3 linked regions of the Nothobranchius furzeri genome follow. The protein of the gene in region 1 purifies or fractionates together with the protein of each later gene. This does not show direct contact. Links are inferred from orthologs where the notes say so. Each region holds a gene or a part of one and is shown in the gene's direction. Other genes may lie near its edges. The genes, in order: ttc4, edrf1 and hgh1.

Region 1 (8,715 bases):
TTATGAATGATTCTGATTTCTCTTTTTTGTAAAATGACTATAGGTTTGGTATTGGTTTTATATGTGCTGCCCCATATTTCCACACAGTAAGTCAGATATGGTGTTTAGTTTTCTTTAGTATCGATATATTTTTGCATTTATTTTTTGTTTTTTGTATTTTATATGGTGTTTCCAGGATAGTTTGTGATCAAGTATTACTCCTAACCTTATTGATTACATTTCCATTGATTGATATATTTTGCCCTTCTTCTTTGATATAAAATTTTTGAGATTTGATTAGTTTGAGGAAATAGAACCCTAATTTGTAATTGTGTTGTTTTATAACACGGGAGAGAATATAGAATACAGAAATGTGCTATTACGTTAAAAAACACGCTTGACCCATTTCTGTTCCTGTTTACGCCCTGCCTGCAGGTGGCGCTGTGACATTCTCAAGCTCTGGTGCACAGCAAATGAAAACCGGAAGCGGAGCTTACTTTAACACGGACTGTGTTTGTAGTTTACAGCCGTCGTTTGGCATTCTCTTTCATGAATTTGTTTTAACTTAAGAAACCACACAGTCGTTGTCTCCATGTGCCTTCGGTTTTTTTTTTATTATTTTGTTTCAGCGCTGGTATCGTTACCTGTACTAACTTAATAAGCTAACATTTGTAGATTACTGGACTTTTGCACACCACTTGAACGTCTTGATGGAGCCAGCGACCCACCAGACCTGGAGGAGATCCTTTTATTACCTCCACGGAGCTTTTATTCTTCCAAAAAGGTTCCAGTCAGGTCAGGCTGAGCACGCAGCTGTCTCTGCGTCCCCTCGTGTCCGTCCGAGGCTCCTGGTGTCTCGTCTGTACCAGCCCTCGAACCTGCGTGATGTGGGTCAGGAGAGCCGGCTGGCGGGGCAGATGACCTGTAAGAGCCAGAGACTCATGCAGCAGGCTGGGCTCATCCATCCATCCAACCCAGGGTGCTACTACTACCTTCCTGCCGCCGTGCGCTCCATGGAGAAGCTGGTGGGTTTTCATTTGCATAACAAAATGTTTTTGAGCAACTGTTTCTGTGGGTTTTATCGTGCTTTTGTGCGTAAAAATAAAAATTAAAAAATTCTGAGGTCTGAGCTCTAAATTAGCTTTTGTTCTGTAATAAAGTAATATCCTAAATGCTAGCTCCTCAGGAGGGAGGGAGCTGGTGCCTAGTCATCTGGCATGATGTGGGGGACACTCAGGACAAGTCTCCAGTCAGTCACAGGGACGTAAAGTCACATTGTATCACATCTGGGGACAATTGTCTCAAAAGTGAGAAAACATGGCAACGTTATGCAGCAAGGCCCAGCTAGGATTCAAACCTGCAACCTCCTTGCTGCAAGGCAACAGTTGTACCAATTGCTACAACTATAAAAGAAGCTACATTTCCAAACACAATAAAGCAGGTCGTGTTGAATATTGACATCAAAACAGAACTTTTTGGCATGAAGTTTTGTTTGAATGGAGCCCGATGAGGACGTTCAGTAAGATGATGACATCTCAACGGTAAAGTGTGGATTTGAAAAGTTATCTGCACGTTTTAACATAATTAAAGGAAATGTATTCTGTGTTTGGTATGAAGAATAACTATTTAAACATCACCACTAGACTCTGGAAGAAATAACAATAACAGAAAATGCGATTAAGTGTCCAAACATTGACAATCCAGTTTATGTTTTCAAGTAAAAAAATAAATTACTGCTGTAACAGAGAATAATTGTATTTATTTGGTTGTTATTCAATTATAACTGGAGTTTTTATTCAACAGATTAAAGTGATTGACCAGGAGATGCATGAGATTGGTGGACAGAAGCTAGACATGCCTAGTTTATGCTCAGCTGATCTCTGGAAAGCCAGTGAGCGCTGGGATTTGATGGGAAAGGAGCTGTTCCGTCTGAAAGACCGCCACAGGGCAGACTACTGCTTAGGTCCCACCCATGAGGAGGCAGTGACGACCCTTGTCGCTCATCAGACGACTCTGTCCTACAAACAGCTGCCTCTGCTTCTTTACCAAGTAAGCCTCCAGCTTGTTACTGTCACTAGCTGTGGGTTTTTTACTGAGATTTCTTCTTCAAATCCAGATCACCAGGAAGTTCAGAGATGAACCCAAGCCAAGGTTTGGCCTTCTGCGAGGGAGAGAGTTCTACATGAAGGACATGTACTCATTTGATGTTAGCGAAGAAGCTGCGAACCAGACGTACGAGTCTGTGTGTGAAGCATACTCTCGACTCTTTGCCAGGTTGAGTCTGCGTTGCGTTCAGGTGCAGGCAGACACGGGAAACATCGGCGGTACTCTCTCACATGAGTTTCAGCTGCCGGCAGACATTGGTGAGGACCATCTGCTGCTCTGTGGAAGCTGCTCCTTCTCCGCTAATGCGGAGACTTTGTCATCAGGCCGAACCGACTGCCCACAGTGCAACACTGGCTCACTGGTAGAATCAAAGGGTATAGAAGTAGGTCACACCTTTTATTTGGGTAAAAAGTACTCCCATATATTCAAAGCCACCTTCAGCAGTGCCCAGAACAAGCCTGCTACTGCAGAGATGGGCTGCTACGGTCTTGGGGTGACGCGCATTCTCGCTGCAGCCATCGAGGTGATGTCAACAGAGGAAGAGATCCGCTGGCCGGGTCTTATCGCTCCATATCAAGTTTGTGTGTTGCCCCCTAAGAAGGGCAGTAGGGTAGATAAGGCGGCAGTCTTTGCAGAAGAACTGGTTCAGACTCTGGGAGAAGCTGTTCCTCATCTGAGAGGTGAAGTTGTTCTTGATGACCGCACACACATGACCATTGGAAAGCGGCTGAAGGATGCTAATAAACTGGGCTACCCTTATGTCATCGTAGTAGGACAGGTGGCTTTAGAGGAAAATCCAAAGATTGAGGTGGTGTGTCAGCAGACGGGTGAGACTATGTTCCTCAGTAAGGATGGACTCCTGGATCTACTGGGAAGAGTGGAAACTGTGTAACAAAACTTTAACAGCTGATCCTGTAAGAATTGTCATGATTGTTTATTTTGATGGTTGAAGTCCAAAGAATACTAAAGACTTTGTCTAGACATTACATAGGTTTTATTCACAAACGAGTAAATTTGCTGTTAAAAATGGCTTGATAAGGTCTCTGGGATTGATTAATGCTTTTTTTTCTTATATGCTCAATAAGAAGAGAAATAAAGGCACAGCTTTATAGTTTTACATTTTTTTTTCTTCCCGGTACCGGTTGCTTGTTTAAATGTATTTCTGAAATAAAGAAATATGTAGGAGCTCCACAAAAGAGGTGTTTTATTATTTAGCCTTGTCTTTCATTATCTTTATTTATGAACTTGATAATTGTAGATGAAACCATGAAAAAGATACAGCTATTATAAAGGTGGGGAAATGGAACAATAAGAGCGGGAGATAATTAATCAAATCACTCATGATAAACTAAGTTTATATCTTAGTTCTGTGGAAATAGAATTTCCCATCAAAACAAGCAAGTGGTGAAATGGTCAATGTTAAAAGAAAAACTTTAAACACAAGAATACAGTTTTATCATAAACCTTTTTAAAAGTTTTAGTAATAAAGGTTCACTTTTGCAAGTCATTTTGAGAGATCATGGAATTCAGTTAATAGGACTTATTGCATGATAGCCTTTTTAACATTGCTTATAAAATTAGCAAAAAACTGAGTTTCACTTTGGGCAGCTGTGGCTACATCGTAGCTTATCACCATCAGTGTGTGAGTGTGTGTGTGAATGGATGAATAATACACTGTAGTGTAAAGCGCTTTGGAGTCCTTACTCTGAGAGGCGCTATACAAGTGCGGGTCATTTATCGTTTACGTTGTTTATTTAAAATAATTTTGAGTGGCGCGTACACTGTTTACACACCCTGAATCACATACTTTGTTTTTTACCCTTCCACGGAAAAAATAAAATATTTGGAGTCCAAGTTAAAAAAATGTTTTTCTCCAATTTTGATATTTTTAAACAAACTACACTGGTAAGTGGTTTATTCTGAAAGTGGAACCAATATTTCGGGTTTAAGTTTCCGCACGGACTAGTAATAAACGCGCAGCGCAGAAACACATGCGTAAACAAGGCTGCGTTTATGCTTTTTTGGCTGTGGGTTCGGTTTCTGTAGATACATTTATAGTCTTTATTCCATATTAACGTCACTAAACAGCGTTTTAGCGCTAAATTGAGCCAAAATGGCGTCAACGGCGGTTCAGAGTGACAGTGACGACGGGATGGACGAATTCATGGACAAATTCAAGACGCAGAGATATAAAAAGGGCTTCAATGAAGACACCTGGGAGGAGGTAACTCAGACTTTCATCATCAGTCTTCAACAGATCGTTAGTTAATATCGAGATTTATTTAGTTTTTTTGTTTTTCTTCTAGGAGTTCGATAAAATACCCATGTTTATGAAAGAAGCCCCTGAAAACATCAACCCACGAGAATACCCAGACCTAGCATGTCTCCAGTCCATGATCCACGATGAAGACCGACCTCCAGAAGGTAAGTGTGTCCTTATCCGAACACAGAATGAGTCTTCAGTCACATATTAAAGTTTATACATGTTTTGTTTCCTCATCAGAACAAGCAAAAAGCCTGAAAAATGAAGGAAATGCTTATTTTAAGGAGAGGAGCTACAAACAGGCAGTCGTGTCTTACACAGCAGCGTTGAAGGTGAAATGTGGGGATGAGGAGCTCAGGGCTGTAATTCTCACGAACCGAGCCGCTTCACACTTCCATCTGGGTATAATGTCTCATGGTACATTCACCGTTCATTCACCTGTGTCAAGACATAAATATTAAAGTGCACTGATATTTTTTAACACAGGTAACATGCGCTCTGCACTGAATGATGCTGTAGCTGCAAAAAAGATCAAACCAGACCACCTCAAAGCTTTGATCAGAGGTCTGTAAGCTAATACTTTGCTCACAAAGTAACGAATCACAACAACTGTACTGATAAAAAGCCAAATGGATTTGTTTCTTTCCATATTTTTGATTGTATTTGCAAGAATTGGTCAAATGACATTGAAGTGGAATCTCTGCAGTGAGAAATAGCTATTTTTAGTACAACACAGTGGCTGCCAAACACCAGAGGAAACATATAGTAAATTATTACAGTTACACGTCAATTATTCTAAATGTCTGCTTTGGTGTTCTGCATTGATAATGACGGTGTTGGATTGTGTTTGTGGTCCTGCAGGAGCTCAGTGCTGCATAGAGCTGCGTAACTTTGCAGAGGCTGTCCAGTGGTGCGATGAGGGATTAAAGGTCCACCCCACTGACAAAAAGCTGCAGGAGCTGAGAGCAGCAGCAGAGAAACACAAAGTATTATTATTTTATTATTGCTGTTGGTGAGCTATGCGTGAAAGTTTTAAAAGATGAATGCATCAAGTTAAACCTATATTGTGTGTGTGTGTGTGTGTGTGTCTACAGAGAACAGCAGAGAGAGATGCCAGAAAAGCCAAGGCCAAAGAAAAGAAGTTACATGGTGAGAAAGAAGCTCTTCTCGTTGCTATAAAGGTAAAAATATCCTTATTTTTAAACCTTAAAACAAACATACAATATTCGCATGACCTGAATCATCCTGATTAAACACAACATGTGCTCTCTAGGATCACATCATTACAGAATGAGATATAAAATCACATATTTGTTTATGATCATCGGATGTGTTTTTGTGATCTGCGGACAGGACCGAGGTATAAAACTTCTGCCGCCTGCAGGGACACGTGTGCATGGTTCAAACAGTGATGATGAGGATGCTGGCTCTCCTGCAGCCATCGCCCAGCTGAGTCTGGATGGCCTGAGCTCCCAGGAGGTCACAGGGGCTCAGGTTTTCCTAGACCAGCAGGGCCTGCTGCATTGGCCTGTTCTCTTTCTCTACCCTGAACATCAGCAGACTGATTTTATCTCGGCCTTCTGCGAGAACACCTGGTAAAAAAAACTAAAAACTCTTCTTTATCTTAATTTAGTCTGAAATGACATTTTGAAAAAGCAACAATGACCAAAAAGAAAATTTGAGTTATAGAAATCAGAGAAGCTGTTAAAATGAATGAATGAATTCTTTATTGTCATCATACAGAGCATGACAAGATTACAAATGTTAGTTTGGCAAAATTAAAAATGTTATGAATTTGTTAGTAAGAAAATGCTTATAAGGCCACATGGTGGCGCTATTTGATGATTTGAATTCATGCTTTGCTCAAATGTGACTATCTTTTTAACATTTTAATGGTTGTTTAGTTTTAGAGACCACCTGACCGTCATGTTTGGAGAAGAGCTTCCACCTTGGGACACAGACAGAAAATACCACCCCCAGAATCTGCAGGTATTTAGTTTTGTGATGTTTAACTCATTCACTGCCAGCCGTTTCCTGATCACTAACGGCCTTCGCTGCCAGCGGTTCTCACCGTTTTTACTGTTTTTTTAAGAGTCACAGAACGTTGCGCGCTAGCATGATGTCGATGCCAAAACAACCAAAACAAAGAGGAGACTCACCTCTTTCATCAGGAAGAGTCTGCGTGTTTCGAGCGTTATCCGTTCTTTCATAACCCGTTGTCGAATTGTGATTGGCAGATGCTTTTCCGGTTCGCGCCTCTCTTTTTTTTTTTACAGGAACGGCCCAAAACGATCTCCAAACACATGGATGTGTTGCTTCCTGATCATGTGATCTGTGATGTATGTGGATGAAGATCGGCTTCAGGGCTGAGATGCATGTTCTCTCAGCGCGGGGGCTCGTTCCGATGCTCAAACAGTAAAAAAATGCAAATGACGACTTTAGTCGTCAGTGGCAGTGAATGAGTTAAGTAAAGCTAAGAGCAGGAAGGAAACAGACCAAAACATATAAGGTAGTTGATGACGTACTTTTCTTAAACTATAAATTATTTAATTCCTTTGAGTTTAAAGTTCTGAGAAGTTTAACCAAGGAGGTTTATTCTCTATAATTATAATATGTAGAAAAATGTCTGATGGAGTTAAAATCCGCATTGACAGACAAAGTTACGCCAGTGGGATTAAACATCAACAGTCCGACCGAAGGTAATTTACTGTTTTGTACTTTCAGCTCTACTTTGAGGATGAGGTGAAACAGACTCTCTACCAAGTAGATCCAGATGCGTCCCTCTTGAGGATTCTGCAGCATAAAAGGTGATTTTATTTCTAAGAAACTGAGTTTAGGCTAAATTCTTACTATTTATTGTTAAATGTAATCATTGTTTTTATTGTGGCTTACATTACATTCTGACATCATTTTTGCCATTTATAAGTTATAATGTAATTTAGTGTCATCGCTATGGTTACTGCAGGTTTTTGGTTTGTTAAAAGGTGAATCAGATTTCTGGTTAAAGCCCGGATCACACGGTTCTTGTCACGCTGTGAGAACTCCAGAAAGGCGGCACGCTGTACGGCGCAAGATTTCTGAGTCGCTCCAACAGGACACCTCCTAAGCAGACCGCTAACCAAAACAAAGCTGAAGATAAAATAAAGCACCGCTGGTAACACTTCGCTCATCTTCCTCAGAACAAGGGTCATTTTCAAAACCCTCGCTTTGGCGCCAGACTCTGGCTTTGGGTCTCCTTTGTCCATCTTTCAGCTAAACGGCTGATCTGTCTTCTGGTCATTCATCCTTCTCCATTATACATAAAAACCTGCTAAACTACAGAGAAGTAACAATCTATCTCAGATCACTCCAATATCTGTCTCACTATTTACCCCGCAGCTCCGTGACGCCTCATCACACCCGCTGTCACAGAGCGGAGCGTCCTGTGTTCCTCTGCAGCAAAACGCTGCTGAACCATCCTTGTTGGTTGAACATGTGCGGTTTCCACCAACAGAAAAGGGATCTCATGTTTTTGTGTTTGATTTTTTAGGTTTGTGACCACATCTCCTATCACACTCTCATAGATCAAAGAATCACGGTTTTCATAATTCAGCTGTCGGTCTAAAAAAATTGTGTAATTATTTTAGCATAACTCTGGCTTAACTTGGGCTCTTAACCCTCTCAGGCTCAAAATAAGTTTTGGAAAAAAGGACGAACAACTAAGTCCTTCAGGGGTACTTCTGAGTGTGTGCGTGTGTGTGTGGGGGGGGGGGGGGGGGCAGCAGTAGCTCAACAGGTTGAGCGGGTTGTCCAGTAATCAGAAGGTTGCAGGTTCGATCCTGGCTCCAGGACAGATAATTCTGCTGTTGTGTCCTTGGGCAAGACACTTAACCCACCTTGCCTGCTGGTGGTGGTCGTAGTGTGGTGTAAAGCGCTTTGGAGTCATTATTCTGAGAGGCGCTATACAAGTGCGGGTCATTTATCATTTAAAAAATGCTCATGAAATACGCATGTGGAGTAACCAGGTAGGTAGATTTTAACGTTGCAAATCTGCAACACCTGCCTCCAGAGGGTTAAAGTCTCTTTCTGGATTATTTCTATTAAACAATGGCACCTTATGCTGGCTGACAAGCATATCACACAAATAGTCTCTGGAACCGAAGATGGCGACTTCACGATTTTTGTTTATAAATGTGCTTCTGTAGCCAACAAACGGAGGTAAAACACGTTGTTTTACGAGTATTATTCTCATGTCATGTTGTGTTTTCATATTTTTATATTTTAAAGACTTACTTGTCCGTGAAAGGTTCATCAACTCAACATCAGCTGAGGTATTCCTTAAATTTGAAGCATCTAAGCGGTAGTCTAACGCTATTGGTTAGTTCTGG
Region 2 (7,993 bases), on another chromosome or scaffold:
GTCCTCATTTGAGAGTTTGGTAGCTTTAGTTTAAATTGCCGAGTCTTATTGACACTTTTTTTCATGCTAACGTTACTACTCTTTCTTGGAGCTTAAACTAGCTAACGGTGAATTTATCGGTGAAATTCACGAATACCGTACGCCTTCGAGATAATGTACTGCCTAAACTGTAAACGTGTTCTCTAGTGATTAGGAACCGGCTTATGACTGCGGGGTAGCGGTCGTCTTACCAGAATGAGCTCATCAACAGCTGGGGACGGAGAGCCTGGGATGCCCTGGGACACTGCTAGGGAAGACATTGGTGGCTCCAGCAGCACAGGAGATTACAGCAAACATGTAAGTTACTTGGCGAGTGAATGTTATGACAGTTTATTTCAGTCAATAAATCGTTACATGTAAGACTATCCATCAAAATAGCTATTTACTGTTACCTGGAGTAATTATTCAACATTTAGTCAGTGAGTTCAAATGTGGAGTGTGTTCCTTTGTTTTTACCATGACTCTTATTTTGTAGGAGTCTGCAGTTTGCTTAGGCAATGGTGAGGTAAAAAGCTGTGCTGTCGTCAAGTATTCTGCTGCACCACCTCCTACCACCTACGCCCTGCTGCAGGAGAAAACAGACCTGAAGCTGCCACCTGCCAACTGGCTGAGAGAAAACCCTCAGTTGGGCAGTGCTGGTACCACTGTGTTAGGCTCCAGCAGCAAGTGCAAGCCTTTCTCCAGGTAAAAATGGTATCTGAGTAATTAACTGCGAAGAGGAGTCCTGTCCTGTCAAATTTAGCTAAATATTGGTAGCCTGGAGGTGACTGCAGAGCTGTATCTCTTGCTGTGAAGCATAAGTGCCAGTGCCAAACCTAAACTCTTTTTTTTCTTTCTCAAACGTCTCTAGTTATGCCTTATGCCTGTGTGCAGCATAGTCAGCTTCTTTAAAAAAATATATATATATATATATAAATATTCTTTAAAATATTTATTTACACGACCATATTCTAAAAACGAAATAGTCTAAAAATGTCATGTTGCAGTTTTTAATGAAAATATATATGTAAACAAACCCTATAATCTCTCCCTGTCTGAAGTGCTAATAACAAGAGATTTCAGCTTGAGATTATTTGATCATCAAACAAATGTAATGGATCGATTTTTGCCTTTTTCCTCAGTTTTGGGATGGCTTATGACTTCATTGACTGCATCGGAGATGATGTTGATGTGGTTTCAGACTCTGAGGTTGGTGATGTTCTAAGACAATTGAATCCTTTTCTTTTTCAGAAATTTACACACAGCTGATGTTAATTTTGTTTTTATGTTTCATTTAAGAACATCAAGAAGCTTTTGAAAATTCCCTACAGCAAGTCGCATGTTAGTATGGCTGTTCACCGCGTTGGAAGGACGCTGCTTTTGGACGAGTTGGACATTCAGGAACTCTTACGCAGATCCTCACAGGTAAAAATGTGTTTTCCATTTAGCTTCTTTAAAATATTTATTTACACGACCATGTTTTAGCATGCTTTATACTGTACAGACCAGGGATTGGACCTGGCTCAAAGAGATTTATCAGCGACTAATAGATCAAAAATGGCAAAGAAAAAAGAAGAGCAAAGAGAACTGGTACCAGAAAGCCATCCTATCCAAGTTCCTCTACTACAGGTGAGTAAATAGCTTTGCTTCATTGATTGACTTGAGCTTAATGCATCATTCTCAGTATAAATAATCTATGTCTCTGGTAGCATAAACGGTGATGGGGCTGCAGAGCCTGTGTCACATGACATTGATAAAGAAGATGAGGAGAATGAAGCCGAGGAGTACAGCTCCACATGGCCTGCCACTTTCACCAGCACAATGTCTGACGCAGAAGAATCAGATATGCCCAAACAGGTAGCTGAGCTGCACACACAATGCTGTCGGTGTTTATGTCAGGTTATTGTCTCAATAATAGACACGGTTAGGAACAGTTGCTAGAATTTATTAGAAGAATGAAACACTGTTGCTGTTAAATGTGCAGGAAAGCGTTTCTGTGGACAGCACGTTTGCTCTGGGTCAGGTGACGTCGGTACCCAAAGAGCAAAACCTCCCCACTCTTTTTAACGAAGGGGAAAACAGTCAGGTAAATGCAAAACATCTTAATGTTATTACTGTATGAGTGCTGTCATACACGCTGTACTTTATGTGATCATTTACAGGGTTTAAGGAACGATTTTGTACGAAACATCATGTGGACGTTTGAGGATATCCACATGTTAGTTGGGTCCAACATGCCGATCTTCGGAGGCGGTCGCTATCCTGCTGTCAGCTTGAGACTCAGGTTTGATATTTGAGCCATTTTATCCCAAATAAACATTGGTGTGTGTGTGTGTGTGTGTGTGTGTGTGTGTGTGTGTGTGTGTGTGTGTGTGTGTGTGTGTGTGTGTGTGTGTAACATGCACAGACCAGCAGAAAGGAAGATGCATTGGGTTGAGATTATTATGGAGGGTCCAAGTCTTTTTCTAATTCACTTGACTGTGAGAATGCAGCAGCTGCAGCCTCTCCAACACATTATTGCTGCTCAGTCTGACTGATTAAATGGTCACATGGCTGCTGAGCCCTCACTTTGGACTCTCTCTCTGTTTTCAGGGACAGCAATAAACCAATCAACGTTCTGACAGGCATCGACTACTGGCTGGACAATCTGATGTGTAACGTCCCGGAGCTGGTCATGTGTTTTCATGTCAATGGCATTGTTCAGGTACAGTTTACTGTCTCTTCAGGGATATTGCAGGAAAAGAAGAAGAAACAATCTTTTATATAGCAGCAGATTCTACATGCAGGGTGGTTATTTTACAGCTCAGTAACAATATTCAGCAGAGACATACTGATCATGTAATTTAAAGCTGTTACGGCAAATCTGCAAACAAGCTAGTTTTTGAACGCAAACACGGTCTTGGAACACTCAGCCCTCCCCTCAGGTATCTTCTGCCAGAACCAGAAACCCGCAATGCTGGACAAAACTCCATTTTCAGTTCTGCATTTCCATTCTTTCCACATTTATTGACCTAAACATTATGTAATTCTACAGTGAATGAATAATAATTAATCAATTCAGCAACAACAGAATTAAAGGCATACTCTGCAACTTTTAGAAAATTTTAAATTATTTTCCTGAGCCAGTATGTGCTAAAATGGCCCTTACAGGGTTTATGAAATGTCACTCAATCCTCACCGCGATCTGTGGCCAGAATATTGCACTTGCAACTTTGGAGTGCCAGTCCGATCCCTGTTAGCTTTAGTAAAGAGGAGCTGACATGCCTGGCGCTGCAGTCCGGTTCCGTCATGTTTGCTGCATGTTTTGGATCATGAACACAGCTGATTTGTTTAATTTAGTGATGAATCACTTCTGTAGAAGGCAGAGGAGACATTTCAGCAGTTAGATTTAAGGTGTTACACAGCGAGGAGATAGGTTTCACTTTTGTTTTTACTAACTGGACACAGGTGCTAAAAGCAAGCCAAAACTGCAAAGTGTCCCTTTTAAAAAGGTAAAGATTGTTAGTCAGCTTTCACAAGCAACAAAGTGACATGGTCCTCCGTAACACTGTTTTAGCATAATCTTTTAAAGATTTGCTCAACTTTTACTTTGAAGAACAGAATACATGAATATTTATTTGCAAAATTAGGTGTTTCTGTGTTTTGTAGTTAATGTTTAAGAACTACAAATGGTGAGGAGATCCACGTGAGCGCAGCTGACATGCTGATGTCGTCTAATTGGCATATGAGAAATGTGTTTGCCTGAGCAAAGAAAACTTACTGTTATCGTTAACGATTTACGGCCCACCAGCTTTTAATGTGATTGAATTATTTTTAATTCTCTCGGTTTTGACGTTTTTCCCTTTCAGAAATATGAAATGATAAAAACAGAAGACATCCCTCATTTGGAGAATTCAACTTTCTCCACGAGGGTGGTGAAAGACATCGCCCAGAACATCCTCTCCTTCCTGAAGTCCAACTGCACTAAAGAAGGCCACACCTACTGGCTGTTTAAAGGTGGAGAACCACACCGTTGTGTCTGCTTGATGCTTACTCCATATTTATGTATATCTAATGACTCAACTGTCTCACCTTGCATCTTCAGCCAGTGGGAGTGACATCGTGAAGCTTTATGACCTCACTACTTTATGTGAGGAGGCAGAAGAAGAGAAACACCAGAATCCCTTCACTCTTCCCGTTGCTGTGTTATTATACAAGTGAGGGGTTTGTGATATCCTGTGGATTTGCACAACAGTGTGTGTCTAAGCGTTAGAGGCTGTCATTTTTCTCATTTGTGCTGCAGAGTGGCCTGCAACCTGATGCTGAAGGTGAGGCAAAACAGAAAGCACTACGCAAAAATCAGGACTCTGCTCTTAAACTGCATCAAACTTCTTGATGAGGAGAAGCATCCTCAGGTATATGTGGGGGTTTAAGGTTTGTTTTTGGGATCGACAAGTGAAACCACGTCGATGTGAACGAACTCAACTGCATTCCCGATGCCCTTGTTCCCAGATCATTGCCTCTGTCTACTACATGCTGTCAGAGCTGTTCCGGCTGGATGAGCCTCCTGATGAAGACGGGGAGTCGCTGCGGGCCGGCGGCTTAGAAGACAGCTACAGTGATGAAGACAGGGAGGAAGAAGAGGGGGAGGAGGATGATCTGACGGAGGACAGCGATGAGAACGGATCCTATAGTAACTGCTCCAGGCCTCAGGATGACAGTAAGGCGGTGGCCGTGATTCGTTCTGTGGTGGAGCTGTCGGTTCCTGAGAAATACAAATCAACTCACCAGATCAGAGTGAGTGACTCGTTACTTCCTGCCTTTGTCTCCCCACGCAGTGAAAGGAGGAGAGTGGAGATTACACACAATAATAATGAAGTAAGTTTGTTTATTTTTTACATTTGTTGCAGCCAAGTTGTGCTTTTCCTGTTTCTCAAGACAAGGAGGAGCGATGCAGACACGTCCTGAGCTACGTTTTAAAGGTAATAACTAGACAAGTGGTTTCAGTCTCGGGGAGCAAAAGATCTGAATGATTATGTCAGATTTATTCTGCACGGTGCTTATAAGTCAGACAAATAAACTTTCAATAAAATCATAATCTGGTAATGAACAGGGACTGAAGGCTGTGGACAGTAGCGTCAAAAAGGAGAGCGATCTCCCAGCTGCAGACCCGAACACACCCATTCCCCTTAAATATGAGGATGGAGGCGCTAATGGAACATCTGAGAAAAGCATCTCCCTTCTGCTGGAAAGAGGTCAGTCTACCTTTCATAATTCATCACTGTTTAAACAAAACAACATGATGCAAAATAAAACAGGAAATGGAAATGCATCATGGCTAAAGGGTGACCTGTTTATGATGTTTTTTCCAGCAGGGTATGTACAGGTGGACCAGAAGCACCCAACTCGCTCGGGGATGATCCCTGGCTCCTGGCAGCACCGTATGAAGCTGCAGCTTTTTCTTAAAGCGTGCAAGGCGTACTACGTGCTGTCAGATGCAGCCACAAACCTGCTGAAGTACGGGCGAGCTCTACGCTACATCAAGCTTTCTCTGCAATGTTACGGTGAGTTTACGTGTGTAATTGTATGGATTTGCTTGTTTTATCCTTTTTTTGAATTGCAGTCTAAAGTACATTTAGCTTGTGATTAAATACCAACCTCATTTAAACATCCAGTATCGATACATACCGTATTTTCACAACCATAAGGCGCACCTAAAAGTCTTAAATCTTCTCTAAAATGTACGCCGCGCCCTATGGTGCGGTGCGCCTATTGTGTTGTTGTGAGACGTTAACGTAGTAGAAGACAAGGGGCGTGGTGTGAACGTGCGGACGTGAGCGAAGACAGACCTGTGGATCTGCCACATCGTCATCAAGATCCTCGCTGTTTGCCTCAGACTCCGGCTGCGAGTCTCCATCCACTTCCTCTGCTTCCAGTTCAAAAGCAGCCTTGCTATCTGAACTGCCTGGTGGACATTTATCCTTCTCATCATCCTTTATTAAAGCCTAATAAAAGCCTACTAAACTGCAGCAACAATATATCTGTCCAGATCGCTCCAAAATATGAAGTTTACCATCAATATCTGTCTAACTGTTTGTTGTTACTCCGTTCGTGCCACTCCTTTCCTCGCGAAGCGGCTCCTTTTTGTGCACAGCTCGTTACTCGTGCAGCTTCCTCTCTTTCTCAGCTACATAATGATACTTTTTATCAATTGGATATGTGAGACTTCCACCAACAGCAAAAGGATCTCATGTTTTTGTGGTAGGGTTGTCACGGTATGAAAATTTAACCTCACGGTTATTGTGACCAAAATTATCACGGTTTTCGGTATTATCGCGGTATTTTTTAAACGGTGTTGCATATGTTCAGAAAGCATTGATAGTCCTGTTCTACCCAAACTGAAATAGTTTTGAAAAGGTTTAACAGTGTTTATTAAACCTAAAATAACACAAAGCCTTAGCAAAAGTGCAACTTTTCACAAGTAAAGGAACAAATAGCTTCTTTTTCTGGAACATGTTACAGTAGTCAGTGCAGGTTTAAATTATACAAATCCAAACATTCAAAACATAAACAATATGAAAACAAATCAAAGAAACACCACTTGTTTTCTCATATACTTGTTTTCTTCATTATCAAAATGAAAATCTAAAACTCCAGTCCACACTTGACTTGAGCACTGTACAAGTCAACCTTAAAAAATATGTATTTAAAACAAATAGCCACTTTAAACAAATTACTAAAATAACTACTACACTATGTAATCAAATCCAAATGTTCAAGTATGAATGGCATTGAATAAGTAAACAAATCAATGACAAGGAACTAATTGTATATTTCTCTTCATCATCAACAAATAAGATGCTTCATCCAACAACAGGGTGTCCGTGACACGGTGTAAATGCTGGCAGAGGACGCTGCGGCTGCAGTATATAGTGACTCGTTGCATTCTCCCTCAGCCAAAAGTCCTCGCGTCATGCATTTAAGCTAAAATGCTAATGTCAACTTACCTTGCACTGGCTGTAGAGACGTGGGTGATGGTCATGCAGATGTGCCATTAGATTCGAAGTGTTGCTGCCTTTTGCAGACTCTTGTTTCCTGCACGTTCTGCAAACGGGATAGCCGTCTTCTATTAACTGTCCCTCAGCATTTTTCAGAAATCCCAAATATGCCCATACTTCCGATTGAGTCTTCTTTGAGGGCTGATGGATGTCCTGGGCGCTGCCGTCTCCTCCTTCGGCCATTATTTCAGCTTCAAAGTTTTGGTGCCGTTGCAAACTAAAAAGTGCGTGTGCGCGCCGCGGGAACTTCAGCTGAAGCGACGGTGGCTGGTAAGGGTCATCGCGCCAAAACCGCGGCCACGGTAAACCCACCGAGATAATATAGTTTTTTAAAAACTGGACGGTTATTTTTATTGTCAACTTTTTTACCGGGGTTTACCGCTATACCGGTTACCGTGACAACCCTATTTTGTGGTTTTTTTATGTTCACAAGCACATTCCCTCTCACGGATTACTAAACTGCTGTTTACACAAGTTGTCAGAGTGTCTAAAAAGAGGTCGTTTTTAGTTTAGTATAACTCCGCTTTTACGTTGCCTATTAACACAATTTAAAAACTGGGGTGTATTTATTATCTCCTTTTTAAATCTGGATTGAAACCGAAACTCAGGGAGGCGGAGTCTTGCTGCTACAGCGTCCCAAATCAGGCCTGTTCAAAAGACGCAGATACGCGTTCATGGACCTCAGAGGGTTAATAAAACACAATTCAGATCACACTGTTTTCTTAGGCCTATTACTAACACACATATGATTTTGTTCATGTGGAAAGTTTATGTGGTTAAATCCAACAACTACCGGTAAACACATTCTGAACTTCAACACAGCGCATCAGCGCTTGAAGCGGCGCTGCGACCCAAAAAGTACCGGAACCGCTCTCGGCGCATGCGCAATCCTGCATCAACACCGCTCGCCCTCCATTTCCCTAATAACACACGCTGTT
Region 3 (8,535 bases), on another chromosome or scaffold:
AAGAGAGAGAGATGGGATCGTTTGAGAATCTTTAATTTCTGAATTATAAATTCTAAACAATCTACCAGGACTAACTCTGTGATGGATGAAAATGGATTCGGATGTTGTGTTGGTGCGTGTGTGTGTGTGTGTGTCTGGTTCAGACTCTCTAGGCTGACGTCAATGAATCTGGTTGTCTTTGTTATGACTAGATATCACGAGGCTTATAAAGTGATGACATGAGCCGCTATTTTGCCGTGTACGTACCCAGTGAGGGTCTCCCAGGTAGATCAGGAAATGCCAGGTCTGGAGACCTCGGATGTACGCTGGAGCTGTCGGTGCAGCGATCACAACGTTTCAAAGCCCGTCTGGAGGGTCGACCCCGGTACCGTTCGGCGGCGCGTCAGCAGGTGCTCTTATTTTGAAAAGGATGTCGTCTGGTTGTTAAACGACGAAAATCTCCAGCTTCACAGTTCTTAGTTTAAAGAAGAAAACACATCTGGCCAGTCTGTGCTTATCTTTAGGATGATGGTGACTAGAACTGAAGTCAAAATGGAACTGACTTAAAAATGGCGTTGCCTTGTTTTATATCTCTGAATTGTTGAAAGTTTTAGTAAAGCGGATTGGATACTTTAAGTCAACAAGCCAGATTCTCCTGCGGCAGCCGAAAGCTCTGACTGGTTGGAACAATGTGTCATGCGTTTCTATGGAGATGAGGATCAGTATGTCTGTGCCGTAGTCCTGGTTTCATTAAACATAATTCATGACATATTTATTTCACAGATCGTTCACTTGGTTATTGTTGATCAACATCTGTTTTGCTTAATAATTTTAATCACAAATAAAGTACTTTGATTAAGTAAAGTTTCTTCTTCTCCTTCGGACTCTTCTCCTGGAATGTAAACAGTCTGAGGAACACCTGACCTTGGTTTTTCTACACGGTGTTATTGTGCACAGGGGGCAGCTGTGTGGAGCTGAAAATAATGAACTTCATAACCTTACAATTATCTGCACAATTGTTGAAGCGACAGCCGAAAAAGCTTCGATAAACAGGTGTGGACGGACAACGTCATCTGGAAAACCACTTAGTCCAACCTCAACCATTATCTTATTAAAGAAACATCTGTTGAAACGAGGTCAAGCAAGCCCATTTGCTCACTCCCCGCCGGGCCCGGCGGTAGCGGGGGAGTCCCCGCCACGGCCGCGGCGGTGCCGCCCGCCCGATGTGTCGGACAAAGTTGAAGTTTTGCTACACCCACACCTAACGTTCTTCTGATATGAAAATATTAATTTCATATTGTATGTGTACAGGTGCTGGCCAGTAAATTAGAATATCATCAAAAGGTTGAAAATATTTCAGTAATTCCATTCAAAACGTGAAACTTGTACATTATATTCATGCAATGCACACAGACCAATGTATTTCCGATGTTTATTACGTTTAATTTTGATATTTATAGGTGACAACCAATGAAAACATCAAATCTGGTATCTCAGAAAATTAGAATATTCTAAAGGCCAATGAAAAAATGTTTGTTTCTCTAATGTTGGCCAACTGAAAAGAATGAACATGAAAAGAATGTGCATGTATAGCACTCAATACTTAGTCGGGGCTCCTTTTGCCTCAATAACTGCAGTAATGCGGCGTGGCATGGACTCGATCAGTCTGTGGCACTGCTCAGGTGTTATGAGAGCCCAGGTTGCTCTGATAGTCGTCTTCAGCTCCTCTGCATTGTTGGGTCTAGCGTATTGCATCCTCCGCTTCACAATACCCCATAGATTTTCTATGGGGTTAAGGTCAGGCGAGTTTGCTGGCCAATCAAGGACAGGGATACCATGGTCCTTGAACCAGGTGCTGGTGGTTTTGGCACTGTGTGCAGGTGCCAAGTCCTGTTGAAAGGTGAAGTCTGCATCCCCATAAAGTTGGTCAGCAGCAGGAAGCATGAAGTGCTCTAAAACTTCCTGGTAGACGGCTGCATTGACCCTGGACCTCAGGAAACAGAGTGGGCCAACACCGGCAGATGACATGGCACCCCACACCATCACTGACGGTGGAAACTTTACACTGGACCTCATGCAACGTGGATTCTGTGCTTCTCCGCTCTTCCTCCAGACTCTGGGTCCTTGATTTCCAAAGGAAATGCAGAACTTGCTTTCATCAGAAAACATAACTTTGGACCACTCAGCATCAGTCCAGTCCTTTTTGTCCTTGGCCCAGGCGAGACGCTTCTTGCGCTGTTTCTTGTTCAAGAGTGGCTTGACACACGGAATGCGACACCTGAATCCCATGTCTTTCATGAGTCTCCTCGTGGTGGTTCTTGAAGCGCTGACTCCAGCTGCAGTCCACTCTTTGTGGATCTCCCCCACATTTTTGAATGGGTTTGTCGTCACAATTCTCTGCAGGGTGCGGTTATCCCTAGAGCTTGTACACTTTTTTCTACCACATTTTTTCCGTCCCTTCGCCTGTCTGTTAATGTGCTTGGACACAGAGCTCTGCGAACAGCCAGCTTCTTTAGCAATCACCTTTTGTGTCTTGCCCTCCTTGTGCAAGGTGTCAATGATTGTCTTTTGGACAGCTGTTAAGTCAGAAGTCTTCCCCATGATTGTGGTGCCTTCAAAACAAGACTGAGGGACCTTTTAAAGGCCTTTGCAGGTGTTTTGAGTAAATCAGCTGATTAGAGTGGCAGCAGGTGTCTTCTATATTCAGCCTTTTCAGAATATTCTAATTTTTTGAGATACCAAATTTGGAGTTTTCATTAGTTGTCACTTATGAATATCAAAAGTAAACGTAATAAACATCGGAAATACATTGGTCTGTGTGCATTGCATGAATATAATGTACAAGTTTCACGTTTTGAATGGAATTACTGAAATATTTTCAACCTTTTGATGATATTCTAATTTACTGGCCAGCACCTGTACTTAAAACTTGAAACAAAGTTAATAAAAAGGCTGCAATCATACTCCAAAAAAACGGTAAAAAAAATCTTACATTCTTCATCTTCACAGTGAGACTCAACAGGTGTAGAAGCCAGTCCCGCCCCCGTGGTGTCAACAGGTGCCTGTCGTGGCTGCAGATATTGTCTCACTGCATCTGGACACGACGATTCAAAAGTAAAATTAATTGGTTAAAGTTATGAGATACTGTATTGTGTATGTAAACAGCTAGCGAGGGTCCGTCCGTGGACTGTGCGTGGCAGGAGAGGCAGTTAGCTACAAGGGAAACGCACAAAGTTTCTTTGCCAAATTTATAAAGTCAACATACCTCTGCTTTGTGCCTGTTTTTTTTCTTCCTCCTTCCTTCGCTTTCGGAATGCTGATCCCGATGGCTTAGGTGTTATTTTCATTGTAAAAGATATCAAAAGTTTAAACGCGACAACAGGATGTCCTTCTACAGTGCTACCCACGCACGTGATCTACGGCACCCTTAACGGTCAAATGCATCGGAGCGGTGGCCCAAGCGGGAGCTCGTCATGCAGCCAGATCATTAGAATTTAAATATTGATGTTTTAATTTCATGTCATTTCAGAGGGGAATTTTGAGCATATAGAGAGTGCATTTCATATTGCAAACATAAATTTAATACACTTAAAAAAAAATTTTTTTTAATTTTGCGCCTGTGTCGCCTGTCGGCAAAGCCGGCCCTGACCAAGTGCACTTTGCTGAGACCGCAGGCAGGGCGACTATTCGGATTGGGCCTTTAATGTCTATGCAGCAAACAGCTGTTCTGTAAAGTTCTGGTTCTGTCTGACTGGTTAGGGGTTCTGCTGCAGAGTTGAACCAGCTTCCACCGGTTCCACTGGAGCAGGCGTTCATCCAGCGGCCGCTAGGGGGCGGACGATAAGAGAATTTGACACGACCAAAAACATCGCAAAGAAGAAGGCGGAAGTGACGAATTGCCAGTCATGTTTGCTTCTGCGTGTGGTTTTGGGTTTTACCGGAACGTGTGTGAAGCATATATGTAAAGGTGGGCTGATTCTATAGAACTGAACATAACTCGTGCAGCGGTTCGGTTGTTCAGGACCGACCGAACTGGAGAGGAGAGGATGCTGAGTGACGGTGAAGCCGCGGAGCTCCGGTCCTTCCTGACCATCGGGACCCGTCCGGATGTCAAGGCCGTGGCTACAGAGTCGCTGCTGGGTCTGTCTGCTCACAGGTGAGTCGCTGCTGGATCCGCAGCTCACCTGAGCATAACAGCAGCTTGCTGATGCCAGTGACGTCACACTGGCGTATCGGTGCACGTGTAATAGGTCTGTAGAGCAGTCGCTACACCACACTAGGGTCTCCGTCTGGACCTAGACCATGACCTAGACCCATAACAACAAAACCTGCTGTAACCCATACCGAGCTGGCAGGGTCGTAGCAAGCTTTGGACATTTCATATTAAAAAGCATCAGTCTGGTGCGTTTAGAGAAAAAAGTAGAGCTACAGGCTGGTGAGAATAATAATAATAATAATAATATTAATAATAACAATAATAAAGCCCTTCATTGTCTCTTATTGAGGAAATTCTGGTGCACCGGCAGCAAAGTTACAGGTAAGTTAAGAAAAACAGATTCACACAAAGAAAAATAAGAATAGAATAGAGATTGTATATTATTTATAGCAAGGATGTTGTAATGACACAAATATATTGTATAAGATGTTATAATAGCAGCATGAGACTAGAGATGAAAACATGTACAATCATCCAGTGTTGGACTCAGATTCTGTGCCACTGAGGCAAAAACTGAAAAGGGATTATTGCTTTGATCAATGTGCAAATATATGTGTTCATAAAGACTGTACAAAGAACAGCAGACAAACAACTGCATGATAAAGTATCTCTACATGTTCACGGTATTCTAATATTATGTATATGTGATTGATTATATATCCTGTCCTGTCTTTAATCCACTTTGAACACCGACTACAGCGAAGTCCTCTGATGTATCCATGCTGCTCAGTACTGCGCTAGCCTAACCTGGAGAGGTAGTGTGTTCCAAAGTTTTGGGGCACAGATAGAAAAAGGCCCGCAGATCTTCTAACATGCCTTAGGGACGGTGAGGAGGAGCTGATCTGCAGGTCTAGGAGCACGAGGAGGGTGGTAGAAATGAAGGAGTTTGCTCAGATAGGGAGGTGCCTTACTGTCCAGCAATTTGAATGCAAGAATGGGCAACCAATGGGGTGATTTAAGAATAAGTCAGCTCCAGTCAGAAACCTTGCTGCTGAGTCCTGGACGAGCTGAAGTTTGGACAGAGCAGCTTTACTGATGCTGTACAAGCAGGAGTTGGAGTGGTCCAGCTGGGATGTGATGAAGGTGTGAATCACTGACTCTAGAAGACAGACACTCAGGTTGGGCTTTAATTTAGAAAACAAGGAGGTTGAAGCAGGACTTGACTGAGCATTCATTTTCAGAACCGGGTCCATTTTTACTCCATGGTTGGAAACCGTAGAGGTGACGTTAGGAGGGAGAGAATGGAGGTTAGGTGGCTGGTGAAGAACATTTTATGTTATTTATTTTATCCAAAGTGACGTACAATACTTAACCTATAGGGCAGCGGTTCCCAAACTTATTTAGCCACGCACCCCCTTCTGTGTCCCAGCCCCCACATCAGGGCATGGCTATATATATATATATATATATATATATATATATATATATATATATATATCAGACGTCGAGCTAAACAGTCACTCGACAGACAGGGTTAAAAAAATATGACGACCTTTTTCCCCATCACTTTCATTTTTTAAATAGTAATTAATAAACATTTGATACCATTACAATTTCCTTTGATTTAATTTTAAATAAATATTTAGAGTGCCCAGGTAGCACACAATGCAATTTAATGGTTTTCTTAAATTAGGAACGTTTAACCTGTGCGGCCAGAGCGCTCTCCTTCCTTCTGCTCTGCGTAAACCTGAACTGGCCACCTACTTGTGCGTAATCAAATGTCTATAGGGGAAAATATGGAAAAGATATAGCCATGAGGTTCACTTTTGCCTCAGACCGACTTGTTGCTTTTTTATGGTGTGGCTGAATCTGCGATCCGCTGCCACGTGGACTGGAATAACAAATGCTGCAGTAACATGAGTTGTGATCAGGTTCGAAGTCACTGGCTGGAGCGGACCGACTTTAATACGTCATCCCAAAATAGAAGCTAATATCTTAATTTGACCTGGAATGAAAAATGTTGTTATAAAACCTCTTAAAAGTTTTTATGTTTTTGTGCCCACTTATGTTTTCTTAGGCCCACCCACAAATGAGTTTCTGGCTACGCTAATGGTGACATATGACAGACTTCTCTGAGCTGCGCAGCCATTACACTTTTCACCTCGCGCACCCCCCTAGCGGCAGCTCTCGTACCCCCAGGGGTGCGTGCACCACACTTAGGGAATCCCTGCTATAGGGCATGTTGTGATCTGTGGAGGAAACCGGAGTGCCCAGAGGAAACCCATGCATGGTAAATGGTAAATGGCCTGTATTTGATATAGCGCCTTCTAGAGTCCTGGAACCCCCCAAGGCGCTTTACAACACAATCAGTCATTTACCCATTCACACACACATTCGCACCCTGGTGGGGATGAGCTACAATGTAGCTATAGCTGCCCTGGGGCGCACTGACAGAAGCGAGGCTGCCGAGCACTGGCACCACCGGTCCCTCAGACCACCACCAGCAGGCAAGGAGTTAAGTGTCCTGCCCAAGGACACAACGACAGCGACAGACTGAGCGGGGCTCGAACCTGCAACCTTCCGATTACGGGGCAAGCACTTAACTCCTGTGCCGCGTCGCATTGTTGCATGCATGGGAAGAGCACAGCCGAGTTTTGAACCTGCAACCTTCTTGCTGCGAGGCAACAGTGCTAACAACTGCGCTGCCATGCAGCCCTTAATATCTCACCTTTCTTTATTGTTTTCTTCTAATCAGTAAACTTGACAAAAAAGCTAAACACATTGGCAAGAATAATTATTTAGACATGGCTGATGCGCTGCACTGACAGCTGGAGTTCTGCTTCCAGAGACGGGTGCCGTTTCCTCCACTCCAAACCCGAGCTGATAGCCGCGCTGGTGGAGCTGACCTCTGACCCATCTGTTGCTATAGTGAAGGACTGTTACCACATCCTCATTAACTTGTCTGCCGATGAGACGCTGCATCAGGTGAGTCTTGGTTCTGGGTCTCGGTACCTCTGTAGTTGGTTACCACCTCTCACCTGTCTTTGTGTTCTCCAGGTTATAGTGAATAAGGTCAAAGTTCTTCCACTGTTGTTGAAGAACCTTTTGGACCCAGGATACTTGTTCTCCGATCAGATCTGCACCATTCTGTCAAACCTGACCCGGCACGAGAAGACCTGCAGGACGGTGTTTGAGGTCATTCTAGCATCTTTATACAGCCACGCTGAAGTGGGCCCACTTAATGATTAACCATGTGTGATGGACATCAGCCTGTTGACCAGTAAAACCAGCCAGGACTCCAACCAAACTGGTGTTTAGTTTTTGTTTTTTTGCGGCATTTGTTCCGCCTCGCTTGGTAGTAATATTGTGGTAATTGTCAGTCTTATAAACGGAGATTGTGCCTTGGCGCAGCAGAAGGAGGTGTCTTGATGACGTAGGGAGTTAATGCTGAGCTCTGACCAGCAACTTTATTCAAAATGAAAGTAAATGCGGGCCATATGTGGGAAGGAGGATCTTAAAATCTATTCTGAATTTAACAGACAGCCAGTGTTGGGAAGCTAAGACAGGATAGATGGGTGGGATGATGTCAGCTCTCGCAAGGGTACTCTTCTGTAGTGTCCTTGGGCAAGACACTTGCCTATGTTGGTGGTGGTCAGAGGGGCTGATAGCACAAATGGCAGCCTCGCCTCTGTCAGACCGTCTCAGGGCAGCTGTGGCTACATAGTAGCTTACCAGCACCAGCAGTGTGTGAATAATGAGGGCTATAAAATGAATCCCTTATTATTGTTGTTGTTGTTGTTAATGTTGTAATTGTTGTTATTGTCTCTTTCAGGTCCTGCAGGAGGACATTGGTCTGGCTAAACTGGTGGCAATCTTCTGTGATGAAAACTACAATCAGAAAGCCAAGATGCACTACCTGGGTCCTCTCCTGTCCAACTTGACTCAGCTACCCCAGGCCAGAACCTACATGATGGACCGGGACAGGTGGCTGGACACACACACACACACACACACACACACACACACACACACACACACACACACACACACACACACACACACACACACACACACACACACACACACACACACACACACACACACACACACACACACACACCTAATGAAGCATCTATTAGATTGAACTGAGGGCTGTGTGTGCGTGCGTGTGTTTCAGGTATGTGATTCAGAGATTACTCCCCTTCACCCAGTACAAGGAATCAGTTGTGAGAAGGGGCGGAGTTATTGGGACTCTCCGTAACTGCTGCTTTGACCACAGTAAGAAACACACACACGCACGTACGCACGCACACACACACACACACACACACACACACACACACACACACACACACACACACACACACACACACACACACACACACACCTGACTCAGATTT

The links.
Region 2: the proteins of ttc4 (region 1) and edrf1 purify together in Homo sapiens (affinity purification with mass spectrometry; 3 studies listed by BioGRID and IntAct, counting the BioPlex papers as one, with this or other methods). This does not show direct contact. The link is inferred for Nothobranchius furzeri from reciprocal best matches to the Homo sapiens genes TTC4 and EDRF1.
Region 3: the proteins of ttc4 (region 1) and hgh1 purify together in Homo sapiens (co-immunoprecipitation; 4 studies listed by BioGRID and IntAct, counting the BioPlex papers as one, with this or other methods). This does not show direct contact. The link is inferred for Nothobranchius furzeri from reciprocal best matches to the Homo sapiens genes TTC4 and HGH1.

What each region holds. Positions count from the first base shown.
Region 1 is NC_091748.1:68,231,290-68,240,004, forward strand, and holds the start of ttc4 (tetratricopeptide repeat protein 4), read left to right. Parts: upstream 1-4,058; 5' UTR 4,059-4,198; coding exon 4,199-4,309; intron 4,310-4,391; coding exon 4,392-4,509; intron 4,510-4,588; coding exon 4,589-4,750; coding exon of another isoform or gene 4,751-4,765; intron 4,766-4,834; coding exon 4,835-4,912; intron 4,913-5,209; coding exon 5,210-5,334; intron 5,335-5,442; coding exon 5,443-5,529; intron 5,530-5,701; coding exon 5,702-5,943; intron 5,944-6,252; coding exon 6,253-6,337; intron 6,338-6,624; coding exon of another isoform or gene 6,625-6,699; exon of another isoform or gene 6,700-6,827; intron 6,828-7,072; coding exon 7,073-7,155; intron 7,156-8,715. Other genes in the region: pars2 (probable proline--tRNA ligase, mitochondrial), read left to right, coding at 690-1,004, 1,783-2,028, 2,096-2,977.
Region 2 is NC_091752.1:32,212,344-32,220,336, forward strand, and holds part of edrf1 (erythroid differentiation-related factor 1), read left to right. Parts: intron 1-42; exon of another isoform or gene 43-186; 5' UTR 187-234; coding exon 235-336; intron 337-514; coding exon 515-723; intron 724-1,160; coding exon 1,161-1,227; intron 1,228-1,317; coding exon 1,318-1,443; intron 1,444-1,522; coding exon 1,523-1,647; intron 1,648-1,727; coding exon 1,728-1,875; intron 1,876-2,002; coding exon 2,003-2,104; intron 2,105-2,180; coding exon 2,181-2,302; intron 2,303-2,610; coding exon 2,611-2,722; intron 2,723-3,866; coding exon 3,867-4,014; intron 4,015-4,102; coding exon 4,103-4,214; intron 4,215-4,300; coding exon 4,301-4,412; intron 4,413-4,509; coding exon 4,510-4,794; intron 4,795-4,907; coding exon 4,908-4,979; intron 4,980-5,110; coding exon 5,111-5,252; intron 5,253-5,369; coding exon 5,370-5,561; intron 5,562-7,993. UniProt on the Homo sapiens protein: Transcription factor involved in erythroid differentiation. Involved in transcriptional activation of the globin gene.
Region 3 is NC_091743.1:78,686,319-78,694,853, forward strand, and holds the start of hgh1 (protein HGH1 homolog), read left to right. Parts: upstream 1-3,862; 5' UTR 3,863-4,025; coding exon 4,026-4,135; intron 4,136-6,981; coding exon 6,982-7,120; intron 7,121-7,192; coding exon 7,193-7,330; intron 7,331-7,967; coding exon 7,968-8,119; intron 8,120-8,312; coding exon 8,313-8,413; intron 8,414-8,535.